Daphnia pulex: one gene and its partner. The protein of the gene in region 1 purifies or fractionates together with the protein of each later gene. This does not show direct contact. Links are inferred from orthologs where the notes say so. Each region holds a gene or a part of one and is shown on either strand. Other genes may lie near its edges.

What was found.
Region 2: the proteins of mitochondrial carrier homolog 2-like (region 1) and OCIA domain-containing protein 1-like purify together in Homo sapiens (affinity purification with mass spectrometry; 3 studies listed by BioGRID and IntAct, with this or other methods). This does not show direct contact. The link is inferred for Daphnia pulex from reciprocal best matches to the Homo sapiens genes MTCH2 and OCIAD1.

Annotation. Positions count from the first base shown.
Region 1 is NC_060023.1:12,108,178-12,115,528, reverse strand, and holds mitochondrial carrier homolog 2-like, read left to right. Parts: upstream 1-3,818; 5' UTR 3,819-3,996; coding exon 3,997-3,997; intron 3,998-4,062; coding exon 4,063-4,242; intron 4,243-4,314; coding exon 4,315-4,456; intron 4,457-4,518; coding exon 4,519-4,713; intron 4,714-4,780; coding exon 4,781-4,967; intron 4,968-5,035; coding exon 5,036-5,254; 3' UTR 5,255-5,624; downstream 5,625-7,351. Other genes in the region: cadherin-23-like, read right to left, coding at 1-64, 129-391, 516-665, 726-786; uncharacterized protein LOC124198180, read right to left, coding at 1,762-2,851, 2,921-3,137, 3,196-3,405, 3,463-3,520; putative ammonium transporter 1, read left to right, coding at 5,962-5,995, 6,056-6,145, 6,203-6,433, 6,507-6,712, 6,786-7,016, 7,088-7,199, 7,259-7,351. UniProt on the Homo sapiens protein: Protein insertase that mediates insertion of transmembrane proteins into the mitochondrial outer membrane. Catalyzes insertion of proteins with alpha-helical transmembrane regions, such as signal-anchored, tail-anchored and multi-pass membrane proteins.
Region 2 is NC_060019.1:8,682,361-8,689,408, reverse strand, and holds OCIA domain-containing protein 1-like, read right to left. Parts: upstream 3,180-7,048; 5' UTR 3,165-3,179; coding exon 3,080-3,164; intron 3,002-3,079; coding exon 2,922-3,001; intron 2,852-2,921; coding exon 2,734-2,851; intron 2,639-2,733; coding exon 2,452-2,638; intron 2,318-2,451; coding exon 1,903-2,317; 3' UTR 1,775-1,902; downstream 1-1,774. Other genes in the region: uncharacterized protein LOC124190603, read left to right, coding at 155-371, 457-538; protein SDA1 homolog, read left to right, coding at 3,296-3,382, 3,469-3,573, 3,666-3,764, 3,818-4,000, 4,071-4,136, 4,199-4,291, 4,360-4,431, 4,502-4,603 and 7 more. UniProt on the Homo sapiens protein: Maintains stem cell potency. Increases STAT3 phosphorylation and controls ERK phosphorylation. May act as a scaffold, increasing STAT3 recruitment onto endosomes. Involved in integrin-mediated cancer cell adhesion and colony formation in ovarian cancer.

The DNA of each region.
Region 1 (7,351 bases):
AATTGGAAACATCTCCTCTATCGCCATCGGTCGCTTCAAAATCATAAACAAGTCCATTGTTATTCTGCTCATGAATATATAGGACACAATTAAAATTTAAACGTTTCTAAAAATTAAAATTCAGTTACCTCTGAGAAATTCAGCGCTGAAGGGGGATACTTGGAAAAGAACGGCCTATTGTCGTTCATGTCCATAATGTTAAAATTAAGTGGTTTGACTGCAGGCAAAGGTTTCGAAATATAGAAAGTGCACGAGTACGAGTTATTATCGCCACTTTCGTAATCAAACTCTTTCATCGAGATAATGTCCACCATCCCATTCTTTGGGGTACCCATTCGCAGAACAGTTCCGCAACCATTGAGCAATACCGGATCGTAAGATTCATCAGCACCTGGAATATTTTAATAAGCCATTATTATTAAAAGTGATAACACAGTTATTGACTATTAACGCCAATGAAATAACTGGTGAAAGAAGTTTCTGCTCGTTTAATTAAAAATAAAACAAATTTTCACCTTGGGTGTAGTAGAGAACGGCCAGAGTCGTGTTCCCTGGCACATTTTCTTCGACGTCCAATTGATTGGCTGTAACGGTAACATTAACGTGCCCAAATGCCGCGCTAGTGGGCGGAGGTAAACCGATCCAAGGATTTTGCCATTGCGCACCTATTAAGTAACAAATAAATAAACTTTTATTTTATTGACAAGACAAAATCTGAGAGTTACCCGCTGAAGAAATGAAGAGAAAATACAGGAACCCGCTGACCACTTTTGGATGTAGAACCATTCTTCTGAAAACACTCGTTCGTTTGGAAATGTGTACGACTGTATGAATTTTTACCAAGGGAAATTGACGCAAATGAAAAATGACACAACAATCTCTGGCAAGCGATGAGACACGTCTAAATGTTTTCGTTTTATCTCGGACGTTGCATTACTTAAATATGGCTGATGGGTTGGGCAAGATTTTTCAAGATAAGACAACGTCAATTATGAGAGTTAATTGGGAATTATCTGGTATGTCCAGCTTAAATCTTCAGGTATTTAAGTCGATGAATAATAAGTGGCAATCAAAACCTACCGACTGGATCGCATTCAATTTGGCATAGGCGTGTCAGTGCAAACAATACAGCACAGGGAGGCAAGAAATTCCCCTTGCGTTCCGTTACCTAGGCAATCTTATCTCCAACAAGTTAAATATGTACAGCTCAAGTGTTTTGGATTGTAAAAATAGGAATTTGGTTTATGGCCAAGCAGTCAAATTATAATGGTTGAATCTATCAACAGTTGCTTGAAACGATAGACTTTCATCTTGACTCGTTTTTAATTATTCATTGATTCAAATTAGCCAGATGCGCAACTCTTATTCATCGAAAAAGAACATATTCTTTTTGCACCTAGTATAAAATTAGTTTTAGCAGAGATAACAGATCAGAGATAACGAAAACAGTACGCAACCGTCGTTGGGACATCTAGTGTCAAAATAATTATAAAAGATGATTCAATTAATAACCTACAAACCTCTAGGATGAAAAGGTAAATTGGTTACCGCCACTGAAGAGAATCTGGACGCCTAAACATAAAAAATAGCAGGTTAATCTATTCAAAACTCTAATCAGAACTTCCTAATATTCACTTTAAGTCATGTTGATGACGGAAAATTCAAATTGATGTATTTGAGAAATGGTTATTTACAAGACGGTCATTTCACGATGATTCAACAACAGATATTGAATCATTTTGAACCTGTGAACCTATTGAATTAAGTGTTTGTCTGGTGAATTTTTTGCCACTTGGCTACTAACGACGTCATATCTGATGACATTTTTGTCCGTTTAATCCCCTTGACGGGTTCGTTACTCGTTTCTTCTTCTACGACCAAAGTAGTCGACTCGGCCACTGAGGCGATTGCTATCTCTGCTGGTGTTGCAACCTCCGGTGCTACTGCTGGCTCGACTGGGACGACTGGTGAATTGGGTGTAACAGTATCCAGAGAAGCCAGATCGGTGTAGAACGAGTTCAATGCCGAGTCTAAACATTCTGCAACATCTTCACTTTTGGCAACTACAGTGCATTCTGCAGGCGGGGTTGAGGGTCTCTCACCGTCCGAATCTTCTAGCACCATATCGATGACTTGATCTTGATGAGTTTCTGGTTTGACTGTTTCTTCTTTAAACTTGTTTTCCATTTTATCCAGCCATTCTTCTAGAAAATCTGTCTCGAGTTTCTTTAGGTTCCAGGCTTCTTTCAAGATTTCCAACTGGGCAGTTAATTGTTCAGTTGAAATTCCAATAGAGGGTAGTTCCTGCGAGCTCAAGTGATTCTCCAATCGTGTGATTTTTTGGGCAACAGTTAATGGAGCAACTGGCGGTACAACCACTAATGGTTTCAGGATTTCTCCTGCAATGAACTGGACTTTTTGAACAGGAGTAGAAACCGGGATATCTTCTTTCTCTTGGAAACCCAATCCCTTGAAAGTGTTGACGATTTTAAGTGGCGAATCTGGTCTCACCTCGAGATCGAGAACGGGATGGTGAGTAAGAGGGAAAAACTTTTTAAAATCATTGCCGAGCTTCGGGCGCGAGTCGTTGGATTGTTGTGGACGCCTTCGAAATAAAGGAATAAAAGTTTCCGTTTTGTGATCTGGAGGAACTTCCATTTCAATGGCTGCAATAATACTGTCGACATCGATAGTCAAGCGACCGTTGGTTTTGGCCTGTGCTAATTCTGGTCCAGTTTTGAGATTCTTTTCAGAAGCACCGATTTTAAAGCTCACTTTTCCTTCTTCTTTCTTCATTGGTTCAGGAACGTTTAGCTTTTCAACTGTAGGTGTTGATACAGCAACAAAAGTTCTAGATGATTGCAGATGAAAAGGAATTATAATGTTTTCTCACAGTAAATTTAATTTTGAAAATTAGTACTTGATTGGAAGTTCTTGCTTTATTGCAGAATTCCCTGGTGGGACAGCTTTACTTTCTTCCTGGATGCTTGGATTTGTGTTTACTTTAGTTGATGCAACGCTGGACTTAGACATAGGTGGTTTTAGCAGGTCCTGGGGTTTTTCCCAAGTCAGCTCGTTTGTGAGTGTATGCCAAAAGTAAGGTTGTCCTGATTGAGGATCCCATAGCTCTTGCCAAACTATTTTTAAATAAATTTTTAGAAAAGTAAATTCAAGGGTTAAAACAAAAACATTTACCCGAAGGAGTTGTAGGTGCTGGAACCTCTTCCGTTGATTTGATTTCATTCATAAAATCTTTAAATTCCGAATCTTCGTCTTCTTTATTGCTATCTTCATCGTCAGAATTGTAGTGTCCCAACAAAGCATGGAGTTTATTGGTTGGTGCACTAGGAGCTACAGGAGGATTGCCCATTGGAGGGTTGTTTTGAATTGAAGGACTCTGCGATCCTTCAGTATCGTTCATTAATTTTTTACTTTAGTATTTTACGGACAAAAATGATTTACCTTCATCATCAAGCTGAAGAATTTGTCTTCTATTTTTAGGTCTCCATCTAGAAGCCATTTTGTATGCACTTTCAAGTATTTTGTTTGTCTTTCTATGTCAATAATGCTTTCGCGTTTCTTTCGGTTTGTCAAAAAATAAACATAACATTTTTCGTCTGCTGTTCATGAAATCGATGTTTTCAGGTTTTCATATTTGGATTTTAACATTAAAATACACGATTTCACCTTTTAAAAAATGTCTTTAAATTTACACAAAAAATGTTCTCCACTTTTGCTGTAATTAATGTAAAATTTCCAAGGTTTTTTTTTCCATTTTTCATTTTTTAGACTTGAAAGTCCGCCGCCATGCGGATATAACAACCAATCAAACCATTGTAAAATTTAGCCGACTTGTTTTCCGTCTGCAGTTGAAAATCTCGTAAATCGAGGTTGCTTTAAGTCATAATTATTTACTCGCTCCCGGTTAAAGAATTTCAACTGAAAGTACTTAGTGTATGGGGAATTTACAATAAAGAATAATCGCCAACGATAAATAGTTACGATTGATTTGCAAATTTTATGATGCATCTGCACTTTTAAACATGTAAATTATCATTGCAGTGAGTTCTGAACAAGGATCGTGGAGCAATATCGTTTTCCGATGTGCAGTAGCAACTGGAGCTCATCCCATTGATCTTACCAAGACACTGATACAATTAGGGCATGAACCCTTGGCGCCAGTACCTACCAGGACATTTTTTGGTAGACCTGCTCTCGGTCTTCCTAATGTGTTCCAATACAGTAAGAAAGAGAGAGTGTACTTGAAACATGTTTTGCAATCTAATGTGATCTGTTTTTTTTCTTATTTTCTAGTTGGATACATAAAGAAACGAGATGGATTTTTCGGCCTCTACAGAGGACTTGGTCCTAAAATGTGTGCAACCATCATTAAAGGCATGGCATTTCAGAAAGCCACTGAATTATTCATAATTCATGTGGAAGGCAAAAAAGAAAAGTATGTGACTCAATTCACATTTTTATCATTATGTGCATGTAATGTATTATTACCTTTTGTAGAAAAAGGGACCCATTCACAGCTGATGATGAAGAAGAAGAGGAAGAAGTGGCGGCTGATGAAACATTCTCGACATTCGCGTTGACTCTCTGTCGTAACGTTACTGCCACTACAGCATCTATTATTGCCAGTCAACCTTTCCACGTTATTGCCGTACGAACCATGGCTCAATTCGTCGGGGAAGAGCAAAAGTATACGTAAGTAAATTCTCTCGATAGTCGCATCTTTTGGCAATTAACTAATACCCCATCTTTGTAATCATAGTGGGGTCTTTGCATCTGCAAAAGAAATTTACCATGAGAGTGGGATTGCAGGATTTTTCCAAGGAGTTACCCCTAGAATTATTGGAGAACTTTTGGCACTTGTGCTGGCTTCGTCCGCCAGCTTTACTGTCAGTACATATATTCTCGGTGACCCGCGCTACAGAGCAACTCTTAAAACAACTTTCGGGGTAAAAACAAACCTTGGATGATTTCACTTTTGATTTTTTGTTAATTGCTCTAAATTTTTCCTTTCAAGTTTTTGTCAACGTCGCTGACGTATCCGTTCCATGTCATGTCTGCTTGTATGGCAGTAAACAATTCTGGTTTGGCCGCTGGTCAACCCCCTCACATGCCCATCTACGTCAATTGGACCGACTGCTGGTCGCATTTGTCGCGCACCAATCAAATGAAACGAGGCTCGTCTATCGTTTGGCGTTACTACACTGGAACAACTGCCGTTTTGCGGCCAAATTAAGTTCCAGTCGGCTAGACTCTTGGATACGGAGGTGATTCTAATCAGGAGGATTTCAATTATTTGTTTTCTTTTCGAATTTCGAAGTCGAATAAGAGCATAGGATCATTCAAGTATGTTCATTCACAATCTCTTTTTTCTTTGTAGATTTTGATAATTTCTTGATAGATTTGGGGTCTGGAAAACTTATTTTCCTGTTCTTGAACTTTCCCGGTAGAATGGTCAATCATAATTTCTCACATCATGTTAGTTTCAATAGTAGTAAACCAGAAGGATCGCACATGAAAATTGTCCAAACAGTGAACTCCCTCGACAAACTGTGTGACCCGCTAACTCATCTGCCGTCATGAAAATAAAAACCAATTAGACCTTACGAAATGTATCATTCTGTGCGTTGCTGTACCTTGACAGAACGTATGTATACGACTATTGTCCGTACTGAAGGACGCACTGCTTGATGATTTGGTTTAATAATTGATCTTGTTCGATTTGTGACGCTCGGCCATCGATCTTCCAGTTCAATTGAAATGGAGCCTGGATCTTACCAACTGAAGCTGCTCATTCGCAATCGATTTGGAGTTCTAGGTTAACGCGTTTTGTTTGCTCCCTTTACCATTTGCCAGCAAATGTCGTCAAGCAATCAGAGTATTTTACAACCAGAGTTAAAATTACAGGAGGATTTGGCTGCCTTCAAAAAGAATGTAGACAACATGTTCCTTATCACCATGGGTATCTTCGTCTTTTGTAAGTTTTGGCATTTTTCTCAATTTAATTGGTTTTTAAAGTCATTTTTTATTTTTTAAGGTTTACAAGGTGGATTTGCATTTTATGAATCATCATGTGTCCGACCCAAGAATGTCATCAACGTCCTGTTTCGCAACTACGTCGATTCAAGTAATTATTAATCTACCAGATAAAATTATATTGCTGTTTGTTGGTTTCATTTAAAAGGTATCAGCGTGATATTTTACTTCTTGACGGGCTATGCGTTAACATTCGGTGGGGGTGAAAATGGCTTCTGTGGGACGCGATATTTTGCTTTGGTAGGCCTGCCCGAGGACAAAATGGCACATTGTTTTTTCCAGTACACGTTCGCAGCCACGGCAACATCAATCGTGAAAGGAATCGTGCACGAACGCTGCACTACCACGGCCTTTCTTTGCTACACTTGTTTGATTTCAGGTTGTGTATAATTCCTTGCTTAGAATGTATATACCTAAAACTCACGCTGCCTCTTTACATTTCAAATGTTTAGGCTTCACTTACCCGGTTTCGTCTTATTGGGCGTTGTCAGAAAATGGCTGGCTTAAGGTATTGGGTTTCGAGGACTTTGCCGGAAGTGGATCAATTCATGCGTATGCTGGGGCAGCAAGTTTAGCAGCTGCCTACATGACCGGCCCACGACACGATCGATTCGAAAAGGACGGGAAAATGAACAACATTCCTTTCCATTCTGTTCCGGTCATTAAAACCTTGTTCCTGTTAAGAATTAATCAAATAACTCGGTTATTTTTTTTTAACCTATCCGGTTTAGCAAGCGTTTTTAGGCTCGTTCTTCTTTGTTTTGGGTATGCTCGCTTTTAACACAGGATCAAATGGATCTATTACAAATCCGGGAGACGGAATTGTAATAGCTAAAGTTGCCATCAATACGATAGTTTGTGTTTTGGCCAGCTCAATGACAGCCATCGTTTTCCAGCGTTTTGTTTTTGAACGCTCTTGCTGGAATTTTGAAGTTGGGCTAAATGGCAGTTTTATTGGAATGGTAAGCATTATTCTTGCGAAGAGTGTGTATATTATAGCTTTGCATAACCTCAATTCTCAACTGAATCACAGATAACAATATGCGCTGGATGTAACCAGTATCAGAATTGGACTGCTCTAATTGTCGGATTTCTGAGTTACTTTGTCTACCTTATAGCACAGAAAATAATCATATTTGCCAAAAGTAATTTTGTTTTAAAAATAATGTTGTAAATTGAAAAATAATTAAACTTGAATTTTCAGTTGATGATCCTGTCGGAGGACTAGGAGTACAAATGGGAGGTGGATTTTTTGGTTTAGTCTTCGCCGCCCTATTCAAAGATGACGGTGTATTCC
Region 2 (7,048 bases), on another chromosome or scaffold:
ACAAACTATACACCAAACGACGTGTTGCACTGACCATACACTAACTAGGCTTTCACAACCGTATATCCTTTCTCACTTTTTCACATCATCTCTTCAAACTTATGACTCCTAATGGAATTTAGTATCTGTTAAAATAATCCAACGGCATCACTAGGTTCCAATGATCCAGTAGACCACAGGGGAAACAAAAACCGCAACCGTGACAAGAAACGAGGTGGTGTAGTTGATTTGTTACTGCCGTTCACAGCAAACGATGCTGAGCTCCAAAGCCCAACGACAGCTCGATCCGGAAGGAAACGTCAACACGGACCCAAGCATCAACCTAAACTCGTCCCTGGTCCCAGTTTTGTTCCGGGCAATGAACGCAACAGGTAGTGAACAAGAGAAGTAAATTAAACATGAAACGAAAAAAGTGCCGTGCGCTAATTATGAATGAATTACCTTTTTTGTTTTTAGTAAAATAAAAGAAAAGAAGGAGAAAAATACTGCTGCTGGCTCCACTTCAAATAATCGAAAGAATAAAACGACTGCAAGCTAACAAGTAACTTCCGAAGATTCACGAAGAAACATCACGTTTTAGATTATTATTTTCTTTTTGTCTTTTCGTAAACGTTTTCTCGCAATAATGACAAAAATGACATAACATATGGGGACTGGATTGAACTCGGTTTCTAGTCTCCTGCGAGCCGAATTGGGGAGAGCAACTGACGATTAAAATGTTGTATACTATTAAAAACACCACTTACTATTTTCTGTTTTCAAGATCCGATGAGAATTATTGTGAACGATTCTGTATAACCATAACTGTTTTCAATTATCATTTTTAGCTTGCGCTGTATAAAGTTTTTTGGCTTAGTAATCCGAAACGTGCGCACAAACTGTGTTTCATCAGTTCATTCTTTCTTAAGGCCACGAAGCCTCCACTACAACGTCGTACTACTCTTTTTCCTGCAAAATTTTTCCTTGAACGACGAGTGGACCAAAATTAGAGAAGAATAAGCAAATTGGAATACTCGGCTTAACTGTGGTGTAAGGAATCGTATCAAAAAAGAAACAGTGAGATGATTGATGATGTGCTCGAGTGCCTTTGTACTGTAAAATGCCAGATTCACTTTCGTTCGATCCTTTCAGAACCAAATGTCGGAACACTTAGGCACATCCGCACATGGTCTCACACGAAGATTGTAATTTATGCTTCTAAGCGGTAAACCGGATGGTGTTATTTTTAAAAATCTTCTATAATAGGACCGTCTTGCTGTAAAGAAGTATGCAGGAAAATATAAAAGATTGGCAATTAAATTATTTTTTCCGGTATATCAATTTAAAGTTGGTCACCTTCACTTATTGTATGTCACTGACTCTCTCCTCCTAAAAGTTGTAAAGTTAGTTACAATACAAAGTGAAATTACAGATTCAAGGGCTATAATTCCTAAATTGCGAATAGTTGTTCAACGACGCAACGTAACAGCCACCAAGTTGTGGCTACGTGCCTACGTCATTAATTCCTTTGGACTACGTTTACATTTACAAATACAAATTGAATGACCACTATTCCTCGAGATTTTTTTTTCTTTACTTTTCAAATACAATAGCGAATCTAGCTATGGTCAATAACACTTTGTCGTCCAAGGGATAGGGCAAAACAAAACAAAGCTAACCTCGACCAATGACAATTACCACTTACCCTTTTTGACTTGTGCATGCACAAGTAGTGCACTCATACAGGAAGACTTTTAAAGTCATATGAATTATCATGAGAAATAAACAGCTGAACTTGTTTCTCACTGATTCTATAATAGTTCTATAATGTTAGGGTTGAAATTGTGAAATACAAAAGTAAACAAAAATATAAAGGCGATTCAATTGATGCTTTTTACCCTACATCTAATCCGGCTACGATATTTACTCTTCCCAAACATCGCCATAAAGATTTTTCTTGTCAGAAGTGCGAGATCCCGATGGCAGATTTTGCGGACCGGCGTAACCCGAGCTGGGTGGTGGTGCAACATTTGGAGTCGTTTTGATTCCATCCGTTTTTCTGTAAGCATCCAGTCTCTTCTGCTCGAATTCCTCGCGATTTCTTCGACGTAGATCGTCATACGACGATGAACTCTGGACCGGAGAAGGCAGAGGCTGTTCTGAGACAACAAACGAATCCATCGATGGTCGAAACGAATCGTTCAGTCCAACAGCAGTCGGAGGAGCATCGTACGACCGATCTTCACTTCTTATTTCTTGTAAATAATCCGGTTGATTTCCGCCCTCGGCATCAGACGTATACGACGATTGTCCTAGATTTATAGGTTCTGAAGTAAACCTACAAACCATGTAAGAAATGTTGTCAATTGGCAAGATTGCACTCAGTTCATCAAATTAACTACAGTTCAAGTTTTTAAGTACATAAAGAAATTATGTACTTGTGATAACGAGCTAACAAAAGGATAGACTTACACTTCTTGGAAACCTTTGTTTTTCCCTTTCCTTTGACGCAAGGCCTCAGCTAGTGGTGAATTTGGAAGAGTCATCAATTTTTCAGCACATTTTGTTTGGTAAGACAACTTTCCAGCAAAGTACCCAACTGATGCACCTATAATGATTTTAGGCCATGGACCCCATCTGGTGCTACCCTTAAAATAACCTGCATACAAACAAATGTCAGTTACCATCTTGTTAATTTTCAAAAATAATGAATATTTATGATAGAAAAATTTACACTGAGTAATAATTACTAACCCGATTTGACTCCATAAAAAGCAACAGCTCCAAGTATGGTTCCCAAAGGTAAACTTCTGAAGTAGAAACTTTCATAATTACATTCTTTCAATACTCTTAGTTCCTCTGGACTGAATTTCTATAACAAAATATACATTTCGATAATTAAATATCAAGCAAATTATTGCATAATCTGACTATTATTTTACATATAGTTCACGTCGTGAAAGGACATCTTCTTCTGGTTTTAGAGATGTACGAGACTCTGCCATTTTTATTTTCACAATTACTACAAGTGATGAACCAAACAGAAATAAAAAATTGATAAAACTTTTGATTATATTTTTAAAAATATGATGCCTCTCACCAAGCTGCCGTGCGTCGACTCCCGTGCAGCCGCAAATGGAAGCAGACGAATTGGCCAACGAATAGCAGACAACTTCAGTTGTCATAGCTACACTAACACGTGGTGGAGCTCTACAACGCAAAACTCCCCAGTTTCTTGTTTCTTCCAAGATTGTTTAAAAAGCTTGTAAAAAATATCCGTTGTTAAAATAGTGTGATTACTTATTGTTCACTTAAAATGGTGAGACACAATAATCAGCTTCCTACAAATTTACCGCAGTTACAGAACTTGCTTAAGCGAGACCCAGCGTCCTACAAAGATGAGGTATGGCTGTCAACCAACTTTTAATATTTTTGCTATACATTTTGCCCAATTTTTATTTAACTGACAATTAATCTTTTCATCAACAGTTTATGCAGCAGTATCGCCATTACATTTCAACAAAACTGGTCTTTGAAATGAAACCAGATCAGTATAATAAAGATCTGGATGATTTAGTAATGTTTCTAGCTCAGGTATAAAGTTACACACTTGACTTGGATTTAAAACTTCTCCTGCAAACAGATACATTAGTTTGATCAAAATTGACGTGAATCTTTTTATCCAGGTGTCACATTGCTTTCCTCAAGATTTGGTAGGATATGCCCAAGAACTAATGGATATATTACAGCGACATCCAACCACTCTACACCCTGACATGAGAAAAGTAAGCAATCACACCTTAGATCCTAGACAAATCTAATTTTATTTCTCTTTTAGACATTCTGCAGAGCTCTTATCTTACTGCGTAACAAGAACCTGATTTCTCCAACAGCTTTGTTGACTTTATTTTTCCAGCTTCTTCGTTGCCCTGACAAGGAACTGAGAGCTTTCTTAAAAAATCACATCATTACAGACATTAAGAATGTGAATTCAAAATCAAAGAACATTAAGCTGAATAATGTAAGTATTTTTTTTTATTATGTAAATACTCTAAATTGAAGTCTACGCTAACCAAAGTCTTTCCCCATAGGTTCTCCAAAATTTCATGTTTGCAATGCTTAAAGATTCAAATGTCACTGCAGCAAAGATGTCTTTGGTAAGTTTGAAATGTTATTCATGTTAGTATTTGTAAGTCTATATTTTTATACTTCTTTGTAGGATGTAATGATTGACCTTTACAAGAAAAATATTTGGAATGACCAAAAGACTGTTAATGTTATTGCTACTGCATGTTTGTCAAAAACTACAAAGGTGAGATTTTACAACATTTTAAAGTTACATTGTAAACATAATAAAATTTATTTTTATGTAATGACTAGATAATGGTGGCAGCTTTACAATTTTTTATGGGTTCTGACGAAAAAGAAGAAGATTCAGATAGTGACGCAGAGGTAGCAGAGAAATTTCTTTCCAACTTAAATTTTACAACTGTATTTTAAACATTATTTTCGTGCATGTTAGGATGATAACGTCATTATCAAGGAAGTCGGTATGGCCGCTCGAGTGAACAAGAAGTCCCGAAAGCGCGAAAAACAAATGGAGAGAGTGAAGAAGACTTTAAAGGTTCGGATTACAGTCCATTGGTTCCCTTGGTCGTCGAATCACGAGACCAGTAAATTAATTGTGAGCTTTGTTTTGTCATCCAGAAACGCAGCAATTCCAAGAAGGCCCCTGTTTTTAACTTCTCCGCCATACACTTGGTCCGGGATCCTCAAAGTAAATAATTCTCCGTTATTATTAAATTAAAGTTCCGTTCTGCATATTGAAGATTGTTTGTTCTTCTCAAGGTTTCGCCGAACAGTTGTTTAAACATGTGGAAGGGATGAACGAGCGGTTTGAAGTGAAAGTCATGGCTTTGGATGTGATTTCGCGTCTGATAGGAATCCACCAGTTATTCATCTTTAATTTCTACCCGTACTTGAATCGTTTCTTACAGCCACACCAGAGAGGTGATTACCAACCTATTGTTTTAACTGTCAAGTGACAACCGTTAACGGAAACGGAAACCTATTCGATACACCCGATCCGTTTTTGAACATTAAAAAAACTCTTTTTAATATCTTTTTGCTTGACAGATGTTACAAAAATGTTGCTGTTTGCTGCACAGGCTTCCCACGAGCTGTTGCCACCTGATGTTCTAGAGTCGGTTGTGAGTGCCATTGTCAACAATTTCGTAACAGAGCGGAATTCCGCCGAAGTAATGGCTGTTGGGTGAGGGCTATTTATTTACACTTCATGCGCATTTGCATTTATATATAATACTCGCGTTCTGTTCGAATCAGGTTGAACTCGATAAGAGAGATTTGTGCAAGATGCCCACTGGTAATGAACGCCGAATTGCTTCGTGAACTTGTCGAGTACCGTACTTCTAAACAGAAGAGTGTGATGATGGCCTCTAGGTCTATTCTGCAGTTGTATCGCATCATCAACCCGGAAATGCTGCCGCGCAAAGAAAGAGTATTTATGCGAGAATAATTTTTGTCTTGATACGTCATATTTAAGCTTTCTTTGGCATCCTTAATCATGTCTTTCATTTTATTTCATTTTCAAGGGGCGGCCGACCGAAGCTATGAGCGAGTTGGCTATCAGGTAATAACATGGAATAATAGCATAATAATATTACAGTGGACAAGGCAGAAGAAGAGACATTTTAACAACGTTTACCTTATGTCACCCACTAATGTAGAGCTTACGGAGCTGTGGATGCCAAGGATTATATTCCTGGAGCAGAGGCACTCAATCCGGATATTGAAGGTGCTGCCGCGGATGACGAAAAGGAAGAGTCGGCAGCCGAAGATGAAAGTGATGGATGGGAGGATGTAACTCAATCCGATGACGAAGGATGGGTTAATGTATCTCATTCGGATGACGGCGAAGAGGTTGGAAGTGACTCGGAAGCCGATGGCAGCGACGAAGAAGACGACGATGATGATGAAGAAGAAGACGACAGTGATGAAGACGACGATGAGGATGGATCAGAAGCTTCTGGTGACGAAGAAGACGGCAGCGATGAAGAGGGGGATAGCGATGAAGAGGAATCTGAGGATGGCGGCACGATCGAAACAAGAATCAGCCGCCCATTGTCTAAAAGAGAAAAGAAGAAGCAAAAGAGAATCAACAAAGATTTAAAAAGAAGCAAGAAGAAGACTGTTCCAGCTGCCGAGGATCCTACGCTGATTGAAGAAAGGAAATCGAAAGCGGCCGCTGTGAGCTTGAGTCGAATCCTCACCGACAAGGACTTTGCCAAAATCGACGCTGCCCAGGTGAAAAAGACGTTGGATGCCTCCAAAGCTCGTCAAAAGAGGAAACTCGCCGATGACTTGGATGACACAATCAAAAGGTAACGTGACACGACAGGGCATGCAGATAAGGCAGGGTCAGCGAGTCCAAATTTAACTGAGTCACTGTGTCAGTAAAGAAAAATTTCCTGGCCCTTGATTAACACCTCGCTACGTATGTCATTGTTATTTATCTATACTTGCCCAGCTAGACGGGAGGTCTCTTCCTGACGACTTGTATCCAAGCGCATCTTGGTTTAAGTCCCGTAATCAAACACGGAAGTCTTGGCTAGATTATGTGATAAAAAGCACAGACAGTGGACTTTAGTATTTTAAAACCGGTGGGCTGATTTTTTTTTTTTTTTTTTAGTTATCTTATTGTGCCGAGGGTAGCCAGGATGAGAGTTGTAAGATTGATTCTGTAATCATCTCGCAAGACTTGATTTCGATTCTTTTTCCCTTTGTTAAATCCAAGTAGGACAAGATGGACTTTAACCGTGTAAACTCATGGACTTATCTATTGTTTTTCTTGTCAATTCTTTTTTTCGTTACAAGGGGTGAGTTGGTCCGGTTGGACGACATTGAGAAAGTCTACAAGAAACGCCGCCACGATAAGGATTCTCGCCTCACAACAGTCTTGGTAAACGAGGGGCACCTGTCCACCTTATTTTTCTTTTTTTGTTTTTATATTGGCGTACGTGTGTGTGCGTGTGTCTTGTAACCCAACCAA